Saccharomyces cerevisiae S288C: one gene and its partners. The protein of the gene in region 2 binds, or shares a complex with, the protein of the main gene of each other region. Each region holds a gene or a part of one and is shown on either strand. Other genes may lie near its edges. The genes, in order: RSM10, MRP4, MRPS8 and MRP10.

What was found.
Region 1: MRP4 (region 2) and RSM10 share a complex: the UniProt entries of both Saccharomyces cerevisiae proteins name them as parts of the mitochondrial small ribosomal subunit.
Region 3: MRP4 (region 2) and MRPS8 share a complex: the UniProt entries of both Saccharomyces cerevisiae proteins name them as parts of the mitochondrial small ribosomal subunit.
Region 4: MRP4 (region 2) and MRP10 share a complex: the UniProt entries of both Saccharomyces cerevisiae proteins name them as parts of the mitochondrial small ribosomal subunit.

The regions. Positions count from the first base shown.
Region 1 is NC_001136.10:537,759-540,918, forward strand, and holds RSM10 (mitochondrial 37S ribosomal protein uS10m RSM10), read left to right. Parts: upstream 1-2,044; coding exon 2,045-2,656; downstream 2,657-3,160. Other genes in the region: Na(+)/Li(+)-exporting P-type ATPase ENA1, read right to left, coding at 1-709; YDR042C (uncharacterized protein), read right to left, coding at 2,843-3,160. UniProt on the Saccharomyces cerevisiae protein: Component of the mitochondrial ribosome (mitoribosome), a dedicated translation machinery responsible for the synthesis of mitochondrial genome-encoded proteins, including at least some of the essential transmembrane subunits of the mitochondrial respiratory chain.
Region 2 is NC_001140.6:97,444-100,903, forward strand, and holds MRP4 (mitochondrial 37S ribosomal protein uS2m MRP4), read left to right. Parts: upstream 1-1,775; coding exon 1,776-2,960; downstream 2,961-3,460. Other genes in the region: mitogen-activated protein kinase kinase kinase kinase STE20, read right to left, coding at 1-494; SHU1 (Shu1p), read right to left, coding at 900-1,352; YHL005C (uncharacterized protein), read right to left, coding at 1,385-1,777; sphingosine N-acyltransferase LAG1, read right to left, coding at 3,205-3,460. UniProt on the Saccharomyces cerevisiae protein: Component of the mitochondrial ribosome (mitoribosome), a dedicated translation machinery responsible for the synthesis of mitochondrial genome-encoded proteins, including at least some of the essential transmembrane subunits of the mitochondrial respiratory chain.
Region 3 is NC_001145.3:570,619-573,292, forward strand, and holds MRPS8 (mitochondrial 37S ribosomal protein uS8m MRPS8), read left to right. Parts: upstream 1-1,629; coding exon 1,630-2,097; downstream 2,098-2,674. Other genes in the region: TPP1 (polynucleotide 3'-phosphatase), read right to left, coding at 1-398; AIM36 (Aim36p), read right to left, coding at 659-1,426; YMR158C-A (uncharacterized protein), read right to left, coding at 2,576-2,674. UniProt on the Saccharomyces cerevisiae protein: Component of the mitochondrial ribosome (mitoribosome), a dedicated translation machinery responsible for the synthesis of mitochondrial genome-encoded proteins, including at least some of the essential transmembrane subunits of the mitochondrial respiratory chain.
Region 4 is NC_001136.10:370,549-373,112, forward strand, and holds MRP10 (mitochondrial 37S ribosomal protein mS37 MRP10), read left to right. Parts: upstream 1-1,699; coding exon 1,700-1,987; downstream 1,988-2,564. Other genes in the region: type 2A-related serine/threonine-protein phosphatase SIT4, read left to right, coding at 1-158; NPC2 (sterol transporter), read left to right, coding at 692-1,213; FAD1 (FMN adenylyltransferase), read right to left, coding at 2,140-2,564. UniProt on the Saccharomyces cerevisiae protein: Component of the mitochondrial ribosome (mitoribosome), a dedicated translation machinery responsible for the synthesis of mitochondrial genome-encoded proteins, including at least some of the essential transmembrane subunits of the mitochondrial respiratory chain.

The DNA of each region.
Region 1 (3,160 bases), on a different chromosome or scaffold from region 2:
CAATTTTACCAATTTCACTATTCAAAGCTGTCTTGATGACAATACCCTTGGCTCTTCCCTTGACAACGGCGGATGAAGAAAATGCTAAATTCAAACGATCACCCACGGAGGTTTCTTCTTCTTTTCCAAACACTAAGTTGGCGTCTTTGGAGACAGGCAAAGATTCACCGGTCAGTAGTGATTCATCAGTATCAAAATTCTTAGTTTCAATTAAACGCAAATCAGCAGGAATAGTATCACCGACCTTCACCAGACAAATATCACCTGGAACCACATCTTTTGAGTTTATAGTCTCACTTTTCCCGTTCCTAATAACATGAGCATTGGGAGAGCTCAAGTTTTTCAAAGAGTTCATTGTCTTGGTAGCCTTATATTCTTGAACTAGGCCAATGAGCACATTGACCGCGATAACAAAAGAAATAACGCCACCAGTAATCCAATCATGCATGGCAAACGAGATTATCATGGATATTAGAAGGACCATGATCATGGCATTACATACCTGATGGAGGACCATTGCCTTGTAATCAATTTTAGTGTCATCACCCAATGTGTTCTCACCCACTGTTTTCAATCTGTGGACGAACTCATCTTGGGTCAAACCTTCAGTTAGACTTGTGCCTATGAATTCAGCGGCTTCTTCTGCAGTCAGCGTGTGATAAGCATTGAATTCTGCATTATTGTTTTCCTTAGTAGTTCCTTCGCCCATCGAAAATTTTCAATTCTGTGTACGAAGTTTTTTCTTTAATTAGTAAATATACGTATTGTTGCCTCAAATAAATGTGAATTAAGTGTGAACAGTTCACTTGATGAAGATATCTGCTTTATTAAAGTTAATATTAGAATATAAATGATTAGACTATTACTAATGAGAAAAGAAAGATAGGAGAAATAGTAGAAATTAATAGTACTCTAAAAAGAAAGAACGGAATAAGAGGAAAAGACCTTTTATCTATTCAAATTGTTTCCCTTAGGTATATATATATATATATATATATATATATATTTTCCCTGTATATATCTATGTAAATGACGAAAACGCATGACATTTTAAAACCTACCCCGGGTTTGACCACAACCCACCGTTCATCTAATATTAACCCGCACCCACCAAGGAAAGAGGCAATAATTCGGGAATACTGCTCTAAGACCTTGTTTTTTCTTCTGTCAGGTGAAAGTATATGACCAAAATCTACATCCCTGCCCTAACAAACGTCATAGAAGTAGGAAATAAATGATGAGCCCCGCAAAATGACGCCGCACGGCGATGTTTAAGACCCTGTACTCACAATGTAACCACTTCGTGCAGAAGCTTCTGGGAGGAAAGGGTCCGTACATGAATTATCACACCCACACCCCTCATTCAATCCTTCTACCGCGCATGGTAATCAATCATAACAGGAAGCGATAAGAAAGTTTACATTGCACAGCCACCCTCATTGCCTCTGTGATTGAAGATCTGGGAGTGGGGCTAAAGGTGCAACTTCCGTACAAGAGTGACGAGATAAAGGATTTTCCACGGAATGGCTGACAAAATTCGGGGCTTGTGTGAGTTCCACGTGCGGATGACTTAATAAGCTCAGTGATTGTACTTTTGACATGATTGATGAACGGCTAGAGATAGCCACCGAGTGGCTACTTAGTAATAACCAGCGTAGGAAACAATTACGGATTTTGTTATCGTTCACCGATAACCCTAAAATATTGACCACACTGGTAGTCATTAGAATTTAACCAAGAGGGTAGCTTAGTTCGACCGATAATCAATATTACTGAAGTCTTATCAAATTCTGACTCTTGCCATACCGTTTCTTATCGTCACTGTTTAATCCGGAAATTAGTCATGTATCCACACATCCTTTATTAACAGCAGAGAGATTGGGCAAGAATGTTAGCAAACTATGTACCAGGCGGGTAATACCTGTACATCTATTTTCTTTTGAAAAGGAAAAAATGCAAGAAAGGGCATGAAATGAAACTATTTGGTACAAATTAGAATTATGCGAACCGTGCAAAATCAGAAAAGGGGGAAAAACATTGGCCAATGCTTAGAAATACCATTGCATTAAGATCATTTATCAGAACACAGTCGACGCGCCCATATCCTGTAAATGTAGAGGCAGTCTACTATGCTCCTTTAAAGTTACCTATCAAATATGGTGATTTAGTTGCAGACATTCAGTTAAGATCGTATGACAATGAAAACCTCGATTTTTATTCAGACTTCATACTTAGAACAGGTTACTATTTGGGTATCCCATTGACAGGTCCTAAACCTTTGCCCACGAGAAGAGAAAGGTGGACTGTAATAAAATCACCTTTCGTGCACGCTAAATCCAAAGAGAATTTTGAAAGACATACACATAAGAGGCTCATTAGGGCCTGGGATACGAACCCCGAAGTGCTACAGATGTTGATAGCTTACATTACGAAGCACTCTATGGCAGGCGTCGGAATGAAATGTAACTTCTTTCAAAGGTCCGAAATATCGCTGGACTTGGGTTCGGACGCCAATGGCCTCGAAAAATCACTAAGCAATATCGATGAATTGTATTCTCTGAGAAACGATGATAAAGCTCAAACTAGTGCTGTCGGACAAAAAGTATTGGAACTATTGGATAGCCCCGATTTTAAAAAACATTTGGAAAAGAAGTAAAAAGATGATGGCAATCCTATAATTACGCTGGTTCTTGGGACCGAAAAGATTTCGTACTTGTAAATAAAATAGGTGAAGAAGAGGGGCAAAAAGTAGTAGATTAAATGGTTATACTGAATTTATAAGTAAGTTTAATTATATTTTTTAACTATATGATGAACAATTTTGTACTAATATTGCGGCCCGTTATGAGTATTGCTCTTGCCATAAAAGTGTGTTCACTGCTTTGTTTCCTGGTACTGCATACCGCTTAATATTGTTATCGCTCAATAAATTTAGTTTCTGGAAGCTTTCCAAGGACTTACCAGGTAGCGGGCCTGAGAATCTATTTTTTAGTCCATCGGCTACAAAAATCGGTAGTATATTTGTTCTTGGTAAGTAAGCTTTGCTAAAGGAAAGTGTCCTTTTTCTGTTTGTATTCTTCTTCGAATTCCACCTGAAATGTTGGACATTCAGGGATGTGTGTAACCGATACTTCTGGTCAGAGAGTTTGTATACAATATA
Region 2 (3,460 bases):
GACAGTTTTGATAGTAAAGTGTCATTAAACTGGTGATCTGACTCGGACGCATTTATGGTAGAAAATGTGTTGTCAGCAGAATGATCCGGGGTTATATTGCTGGTATTTATGTTTGGAGTGACTGCTTCTAGAGATTTGGTTTCATCGATGTTAGAATGAGGACTCATGGATGAAGACATTCCACTGATGACAGAGGAGGAAGATACTCGGGTAAATTGAATAGGATCATCTAGTGAAACGACATTATTGTCATCATCATTGGTTGTCTCCGCGTTCTTCGCAGGATCCATGGATTTGTATCCACCAGCTTCATGGGCAGCATTAGTGCCTTTTTGTAAGGCATTGACGTTCAAAGTTCCAGTGGTCCTTGGTAATCGTAATCCATCGCCGCCATCGCCATTGCCGCCCATGGCCCTTTCATTGTCATTGCTGATACCGTTATCAAGACTGTCCTTGTCTGGTAGTTCCGATACAGCAGATGGATCATTGCTCATTTCTTGTATTAGTCGAGGATCTTGTGGGATATTTAGGATGGGGTGTGAGGCAGTGAAGGGAAGAAGTTTGGGTTGCTTGCTACCTCGCTCTAATTGTACGTACGGATGTATGTCTTTAAGAAAGTATGTAAGTGTGTGTAGTATGTGAGTATCTATGTAAGCATGCGTTGCTAATGCGAATTTACGGATGCCTCTTTTTGGTTTCGTATTTTTCCTCTCTGGCCAGGTGACTTTCTGAATTTTTCAGCTGCCAAAAGCGGTAGACTTTCGAATTCCCTCTCTTGGCCGTGTTTCGGGCCACGAGGCGAAAATTTTTTTTTTTTAATCGAAAAAAAAAGGAAAAAAAGATTAACGTTTCTTTTTCGTTCTATCGTCTTCTACGATATCGCATGTAACACAATGCAGCTATCTGATAATATGGTCCCAGAATCGCAATAGCCGGGCAGGCACGCTACTAGAAGGCGGTTCTGGATAGAATTCAACTTTAGATGGCAGACTGAGGCACTGCCGTAACACAAGGCTAAGTAGCCGCAGCTGTTGCGGTCCATCTTGTGTCGCGGTGAGATCCCACAATCCATAGACGAGTACATTAGAGTATTGCGGACCATTCGCCTGCGCTTGCATCCGGGTGAGGTACATGTATAAGTACTTTACCCGGCCCAAAAAAACTACGGATACCCGCTCCCGGCTTGCCACGTGACCTGCCACAGTGTTCGTAGTCACGTGCTCCTTCAGTCCTCCTAACTCTACGTACTTCCTGGCAGTGTCTCCAAGGACTATCACCAGTACGTTTGGGCTTGACTGATCCAGGCTCCAATCGCTTTCTACTAGCTGTTGCAACCGCTCTTCAAACTGCATATTGTATCCTGCTGCTGCTGTTGTTGCACCCGTTATTGCACCTGAGCATTAATATATGCGTATATGTATCTATCTATGTATATGTGTATGTGTAATATGTATACGTTTATGTTAATGCATAAACTGTAATGAAACGAATACTCACCCGCTTGCTCTCTCTCACGTATAACACACGCATACTGCCCTATTTTCCTGTTTATCTCGGTAAGAAAAGGCCGTGCCGGGTCAGAAAAGAGTGCAAGAAAAAAATCAATTCGGTAAGTGAATCCGAGAGATGAAATTTGTATGTCGTAGGTCACTGCTATATTTGATGGTAAATAATAATCAGTTCTGGCAAGTGTACATACGCTCGAGAGCCTGATTATCGCGGGGCACAAATACAGGTGATTCGAGAAATAAAAAGTGAGAAACGACTCTTTTCTCATGCAGAGACACGTTTTTGCGAGGAATTTCAGACGTCTTTCCTTATTGAGGAACCCTTCCCTTACCAAAAGGTTTCAGTCGTCAGCATCCGGTGCGGCCAACACCCCTAACAATAACGATGAGGTGATGCTGTTGCAACAGAAACTTTTGTATGATGAAATTAGATCAGAATTGAAGTCTCTATCTCAGGTACCAGAAGATGAAATATTACCTGAGTTGAAAAAGTCATTAGAGCAAGACAAACTCTCTGACAAAGAACAGCAGCTGGAGGCTGAATTGAGTGACTTTTTCAGAAATTATGCTCTGTTGAACAAGTTGTTTGACAGCAAGACATTAGATGGACAATCTTCTACAACGACAGCAGCAGCCACGCCAACCAAGCCTTACCCTAACCTTATACCTTCGGCCAATGACAAACCATATTCCTCTCAAGAACTTTTCTTGCGTCAACTAAACCATTCCATGCGTACCGCTAAATTGGGTGCCACTATTTCGAAGGTTTACTATCCTCATAAGGACATTTTCTATCCGCCCCTCCCAGAAAACATTACTGTTGAGAGCTTAATGTCTGCTGGTGTTCACTTGGGCCAGTCTACCTCACTTTGGAGGTCTTCCACACAATCCTACATATACGGTGAATATAAAGGTATTCACATAATAGATCTAAACCAAACTTTGTCCTATTTGAAGAGAGCCGCCAAGGTAGTAGAGGGCGTTTCGGAATCCGGTGGCATTATCCTATTTCTGGGTACAAGACAAGGCCAGAAAAGAGGGCTCGAGGAAGCTGCTAAGAAGACACATGGTTATTATGTGTCTACCAGATGGATCCCGGGTACTTTGACGAATTCTACAGAAATTTCAGGTATCTGGGAGAAGCAGGAAATCGACTCTAATGACAATCCCACCGAAAGAGCGTTATCACCGAATGAAACATCAAAGCAGGTTAAGCCTGACTTGCTGGTCGTATTAAATCCCACAGAAAATAGAAACGCTTTGTTAGAAGCAATTAAATCAAGGGTCCCAACTATCGCAATCATCGATACTGACTCCGAACCTTCTTTGGTGACCTACCCTATCCCAGGTAACGATGATTCATTGAGATCTGTCAATTTCTTACTAGGAGTCTTGGCGAGAGCTGGCCAAAGAGGCTTGCAAAATCGCTTGGCCAGAAATAACGAAAAATGAACACTTTTATTTTCTTTTGGCTTGTTAACCTAAACTTGTACATATGCCCATATATCCTTAAATATATATATATAGCCAACCCGAAGACGCTAAATAAACGCATTTTTTTTTTTTTTTACAGAATTATTACTTTCGTACTTGGGTTTATGCTTCTTATAACAACAACTATGAGCTATACCATGTTAACTTGGCCTTCATACAGGGGGGAAATCATATGATGATACGTATTCTCCTTAAGATACGTTTATTCACACTTTTCCTTAGATTCTTCATTTTCAGCGCTCTCATCAGAATCACTGTCACTTCTTTCGTCCTTTTGGATACCTTGCCATATCAATCTGTACAAGATTCTAAGAATTAAAAACAGCCAATACAGGTTAACTAATTGTAACGCAGCAATTAGTACAAATACAATTGGCAACGAAATCCAACATTTGTATTGTTGTGTGGCAAAATTCAACACATAATTACCTTCATGACGGAATTCTGTTAAGACTGAC
Region 3 (2,674 bases), on a different chromosome or scaffold from region 2:
TATAGCCATAACCTGTGTGATAACGTTTCTCCTCTCTCATCGTTTTTGATTGCCTTTAAAAATAGCAAAATTTTATTAGTGTACTTGGTGCAACTTTTAGAAGTTCTTGGGACGGTGATGACACCACCTTGGTTAGAAAATATGACTATGACGGCCGTGGGATCATTATCAATGATATTACACAGGTAATCCAGGGTGGATTTCTTGGAGTTAAAATTAATAAACTGCCAATCACTTGCGCTTCTACTAAAACTTATATTGGGGGACTTTGGTTTGATAATTGTATGGTCCAGATCAAAGGCATAAACGTTTAGACCATGCTCGTCGTGATCAATGGATTGTGGAAACTTGGGCGTGAACTTAATCAGAAATGGCAGGATTGTTAATTTGTGGGACATGGGCTTTCCTTCGGTTCAGTTTTCTATGTTATCCATCTGATTTTGGGATGATTTTACAGATTAAAATCGATTTAAAGCCATACGCAAAAGAGGGGAAACGAAAGAAACGCACAGAATTCATTCACATAGATGAAGGGAACAGAAAATGAGAATGTTATATGACAGATAAGCAGCATATTCAGGACATATATCCAGATATATATACATATAAGCTATTAACAAGGAGAAGAAACCAAAAAAAAAAAAAAAAGAAAACATCCTCAGATGATATCAGCTTTACCTACAGTTTCGTAATATTTACAGACGTCAGAGCCACTCAATTTCCTCGGAACAAAGATTTTAGACACTATAGAAACCTCATTTTCAAATCTTGTTGCATCAGCAATCGAATGAGGAAAGTTCACAACTACTAGCTTGTCACCGGTCTTGAAGTTCTCTTTGAAATATCTACCCAAAAGCATGACCAACATACCGGTCGGCAAATTGTAAGCGTACGTGTCACACCCGTATTTTTTGTAGTATTCATTTAATAAAGCCTCATATCTATCATCCCTCAAGGTTCTGTAGTAATCGATGACCTTGACTGGATCGACAAACTGCAGCTCATTTATATCATCGCCTTGTGATTTCTGCAGTACCTTTCTAGTTTCTTCAATGCTGGGTGATAAGGAAAACTTTATATCGACCTCACCTTGTGGGAAGATAGCCACACGTCTTTTCAACCCTTTAACCACATTTTCGAATTCTTCTTCTGATAATGTTGTCTTCGGTTTGTTCTTATCTAAAGACTGTACTGTCTTGACAAATATCACTGTACCGATAATAGCAACAAGGAAAATTTTCTTAAATCCTGGAGCATCTATTTTATCTGATTTGTTAGACCTTTTAGTTGAGCTATCAGTTGATGAGTATCGTGCTCTCAAGAGCAATGGTGAAAATAAGGGTAATTGCTTTTGAGGCAACCCACCGCACACCTTGAAACAATGTCGGCAGCTTGCTAGAACGCTTTTTCTCAGTGGTCGCAACATGTAGGTAGTCTATTTATCTGGGCTCGTTATGTATTAATCTTCCTATGGGGATTCATTCATTTTAGCTTTACCGGCAGTCCTTACAAACCGCTTTTTGAAATTAAATCGACAAACTGAGGAAGAAGAACGGAAAAACAGAAGAAAGCCAAAGGCAAAGAAGCGACCACATACACCTTTTTTTCGATCTAAACTAATCGCCCAAAATGTCGTTGGTCAAACTTGCGAATACGTGTGCTCATTTACAGAACTGCTCGAAAGTTAGAGTTGCCTTAACATCGATCCCATATACGAAATTGCAGCTACAGTTTGCGTATAACCTTTACCAACAAGGGTTCTTATCGTCTTTACAGAAGGGATCGACTATGGGACCAGACAAAGATTTTGTTGAAGTAACACCAGACAATATCTCTACTAGAAGGCTTTGGGTTGGATTGAAGTATAGAGATAACAAACCTGTCCTCAGCAGCTGCAAATTAATTTCCAAACCAAATTCAAGAATACACCTGCCAATGGAAGACATGAAGAAACTATGCTCTGGCGTAACTATTAGAAACATCAAACCACTACAACCAGGAGAACTGATTCTAGTTCGAGCTCATAACAACATTATGGACATTAATGAAGCCATATCCAAAAAGTTGGATGGAGAAGTACTATGCAGAGTAAAATGAATAGAACAATCACATATGACCGTATTTATACGTGTAATTAAAAAATATACGGACCATGTAAATAATAATATTATAAAATGCAGACAATGATGATGAGTATAGTACTACAGTAACGTCCTTCATTCATTACCTTTACTAGCAGTGATAAAAAGTTTTGAAAAAAAATGTGCTCCAGGGGAGGTTCGAACTCTCGACCTTCAGATTATGAGACTGACGCTCTTCCTACTGAGCTACTGAAGCTGTCTGTTATGGAGGATTCTAGCATTAAATGCTTTAATACTCAATAAAAGCAACAATGGAGAATAATTTATCAGCAACTAAATTTATAGACGAAGATCCTACGCCAAATCTTAGCTCCTTTATATTTAATATTGAAAAACATATGAATTTTAGGTTGAATCCTCAAAATGGAATTGATATTTCTACATAATAGTACTACGATTATTCTTCACTCTGTTTTATATGTGTCATTATGTTATTACATTATCAATCCTTGCATTTCAGCTTCGTCTAACTTCCATGACAGTTTCTCATACCTTATGTCATCATCTAACACCGTACATGATAACATACTGGT
Region 4 (2,564 bases), on a different chromosome or scaffold from region 2:
CGCCAAATTACTGTTATAGATGTGGTAATGTCGCGAGTGTAATGAAGGTCGATGAGGATCTGGAACCTACTTTCAAAATTTTCTCGGCTGTTCCCGATGACTACATAAGAGAATCCACGGCAAACCATAATAATCAAAGAGCCGGCTATTTCTTATAACACGACGGCATGCCCTCCCTAACTCGACGAATAAAAATAATTTTCACAATAAAAAAAAGACTACAAAAATCAGAAACTTTTTCATTACGCCATTTGCTACGATACGATACACAACAAGCACATTCTAAGAGCATTCCATTTACTATGGTCAAAATGACCAAATAAAAAATTAAAAAAAAAAAGAAGGAATGAGAACTAGTAACTACATATTCAACAATTGCAGTTTTCTTTTCCTTTTTGTCCTTGTCCTTTCTTTCCTATTTATATATATATATATATATATATATAATACTACTATGTTATATTACATTATATTATTATCACAATAATTATTACGTTCATCGTGCCGAAACGTCACCTCCCACGGTTTGGATCTATTGAAAGAGGGTGGAATCCCTGATAATAAAAAAACTTTAATCAACACTCGGGAGGGGAAATATAAAAGACTGGCGCTACTTAAAGAGCTGATTCGCCAAGGCAGAAAAGCATAACCATATTAAATCTTCTCCTTCAAAGCTAGCACGCCTTCCAAAATGACCCACAGCTTGAAAGCTCTATTCGCCTTGCTATTTCTTTACACAGCTGCTGTCAATGCGGGTGTGATTGGCATATTCAACGCCCTTCCCCCACCAAACACCAAACCAATTAACGGCGAATCTCCACTTTACCAATGTGACATTCTAGACAAGCAACTTGTGGAAATCAAAGAGGTCAATTTGGACCCTAACCCTCCTGTTCGTGGCGAAAATTTGACTATTTCTGCTAACGGTGAGGTCTTTGAAACTATAGAAGAGGGGGCATATATCGACGTTGAAGTCCGTCTAGGATACATCAGACTGTTATCCCAGACTTTTGATTTGTGTGAAACATTAGAAGATAACGATATCGAAGGCTTATCCTGTCCAATTGAACCGGGTGAATACAACATTAAGAAAATAGTTGAGATCCCAGGCGAGGTTCCACCTGGCAAATATGTTGTTGTAGCAAGAGCTTACACTGAAAAGGATGATCTGATCACTTGCTTAACCGGAGAAGTCATCTTCCCACCAAGGTGATCTGATTCATACAACTCATTGATCCGTGTTTATTTCCCTTCTCGTTCCATGTATTCTTTTCTTTTACCCCATGTTCTCTTCACCCGTTCGAGGCAGGGTTTTTCCTCTTTTTGTTATAACCACCATCTAGTCGAATGTGGTTACTCTTAATATTTTTTTGTCGGCCAATGCTTCAGCGCCTTTGTCAACACCTACTTCTTTTCCATTCCTTTCCTCTAATTAAAAATCATCTATTTAGTGTGTACGTATTAAAAACATGTCATTACATTGATATCTCATTGCAAAATTTCTCCCTTACGCACATCTTTGGTTATTATATATGATGACAGGTTCGTTCTCCGGGTAATGCGGACTTTACATATTAATTCTTTTCCCAGTATTTTAGGCAGAATATAAAAGCTTTGAGGCTTTAAGTGAGACAAAAGTCTTACCATAGCAACACGAGGGCTCGCCGAAACTTCCATCTAAAATAAAGAGTGCCCATTAATGTCCGGAAAACCACCAGTTTATAGATTACCCCCTCTTCCCAGACTAAAAGTGAAGAAACCTATCATTAGGCAAGAAGCGAACAAATGTCTTGTTTTAATGTCAAACTTATTACAATGCTGGTCTTCATATGGTCATATGAGCCCTAAATGTGCTGGCTTAGTAACGGAATTGAAAAGTTGCACTAGTGAAAGTGCCCTCGGCAAAAGAAACAACGTTCAAAAGAGCAATATTAACTATCACGCCGCTAGGCTGTATGATAGGATCAACGGTAAACCCCATGATTAATTTTATATCCAAAAGCAGCAAGAATGAAAACTTGATAATATTAAAGTCATGGCCTTGTATATACAAATTAAATAGTCTCAACGGAAAATATATAAACTTTTAATCTAATAGTAACATCAGCATTTTATTTTCTTTCCTCCGTTAAACCGTACTTAATTCTTGATCCTGCCTGCTCTCTCTAAAGTGTCATCAACCAAATACCAGCCAGGATAGTAATTGTCATGGTATTTGCTGAATCTTTCCTTATCCACCACGGAAATAGGTGACGTGTTTATAGCGGAACTACGTTCGCCTTCTGCGTCCTTGCCAAATGCATGAATGATTTCCCATTCAAAATGCAAGGCTGGATTATTGGAGTCCTTTCTCAAGTGTGGGTTAGGCAATGAGTTGTTAATTCCGCCGATTGATGTGAAACCTTTACCATATAGTCCACAAATTGGCTCATTAGAATACAGTAAGAAACTCCATATATTGGTTAAGTCCCAGTGTAAGAGAGGTTGCAACCTCATAAAATCAGGCCAGTTAGAATCTGTTCTTTGAATAGGCTTTAATGCTTCACCAAATGGGTCTGTGTGTC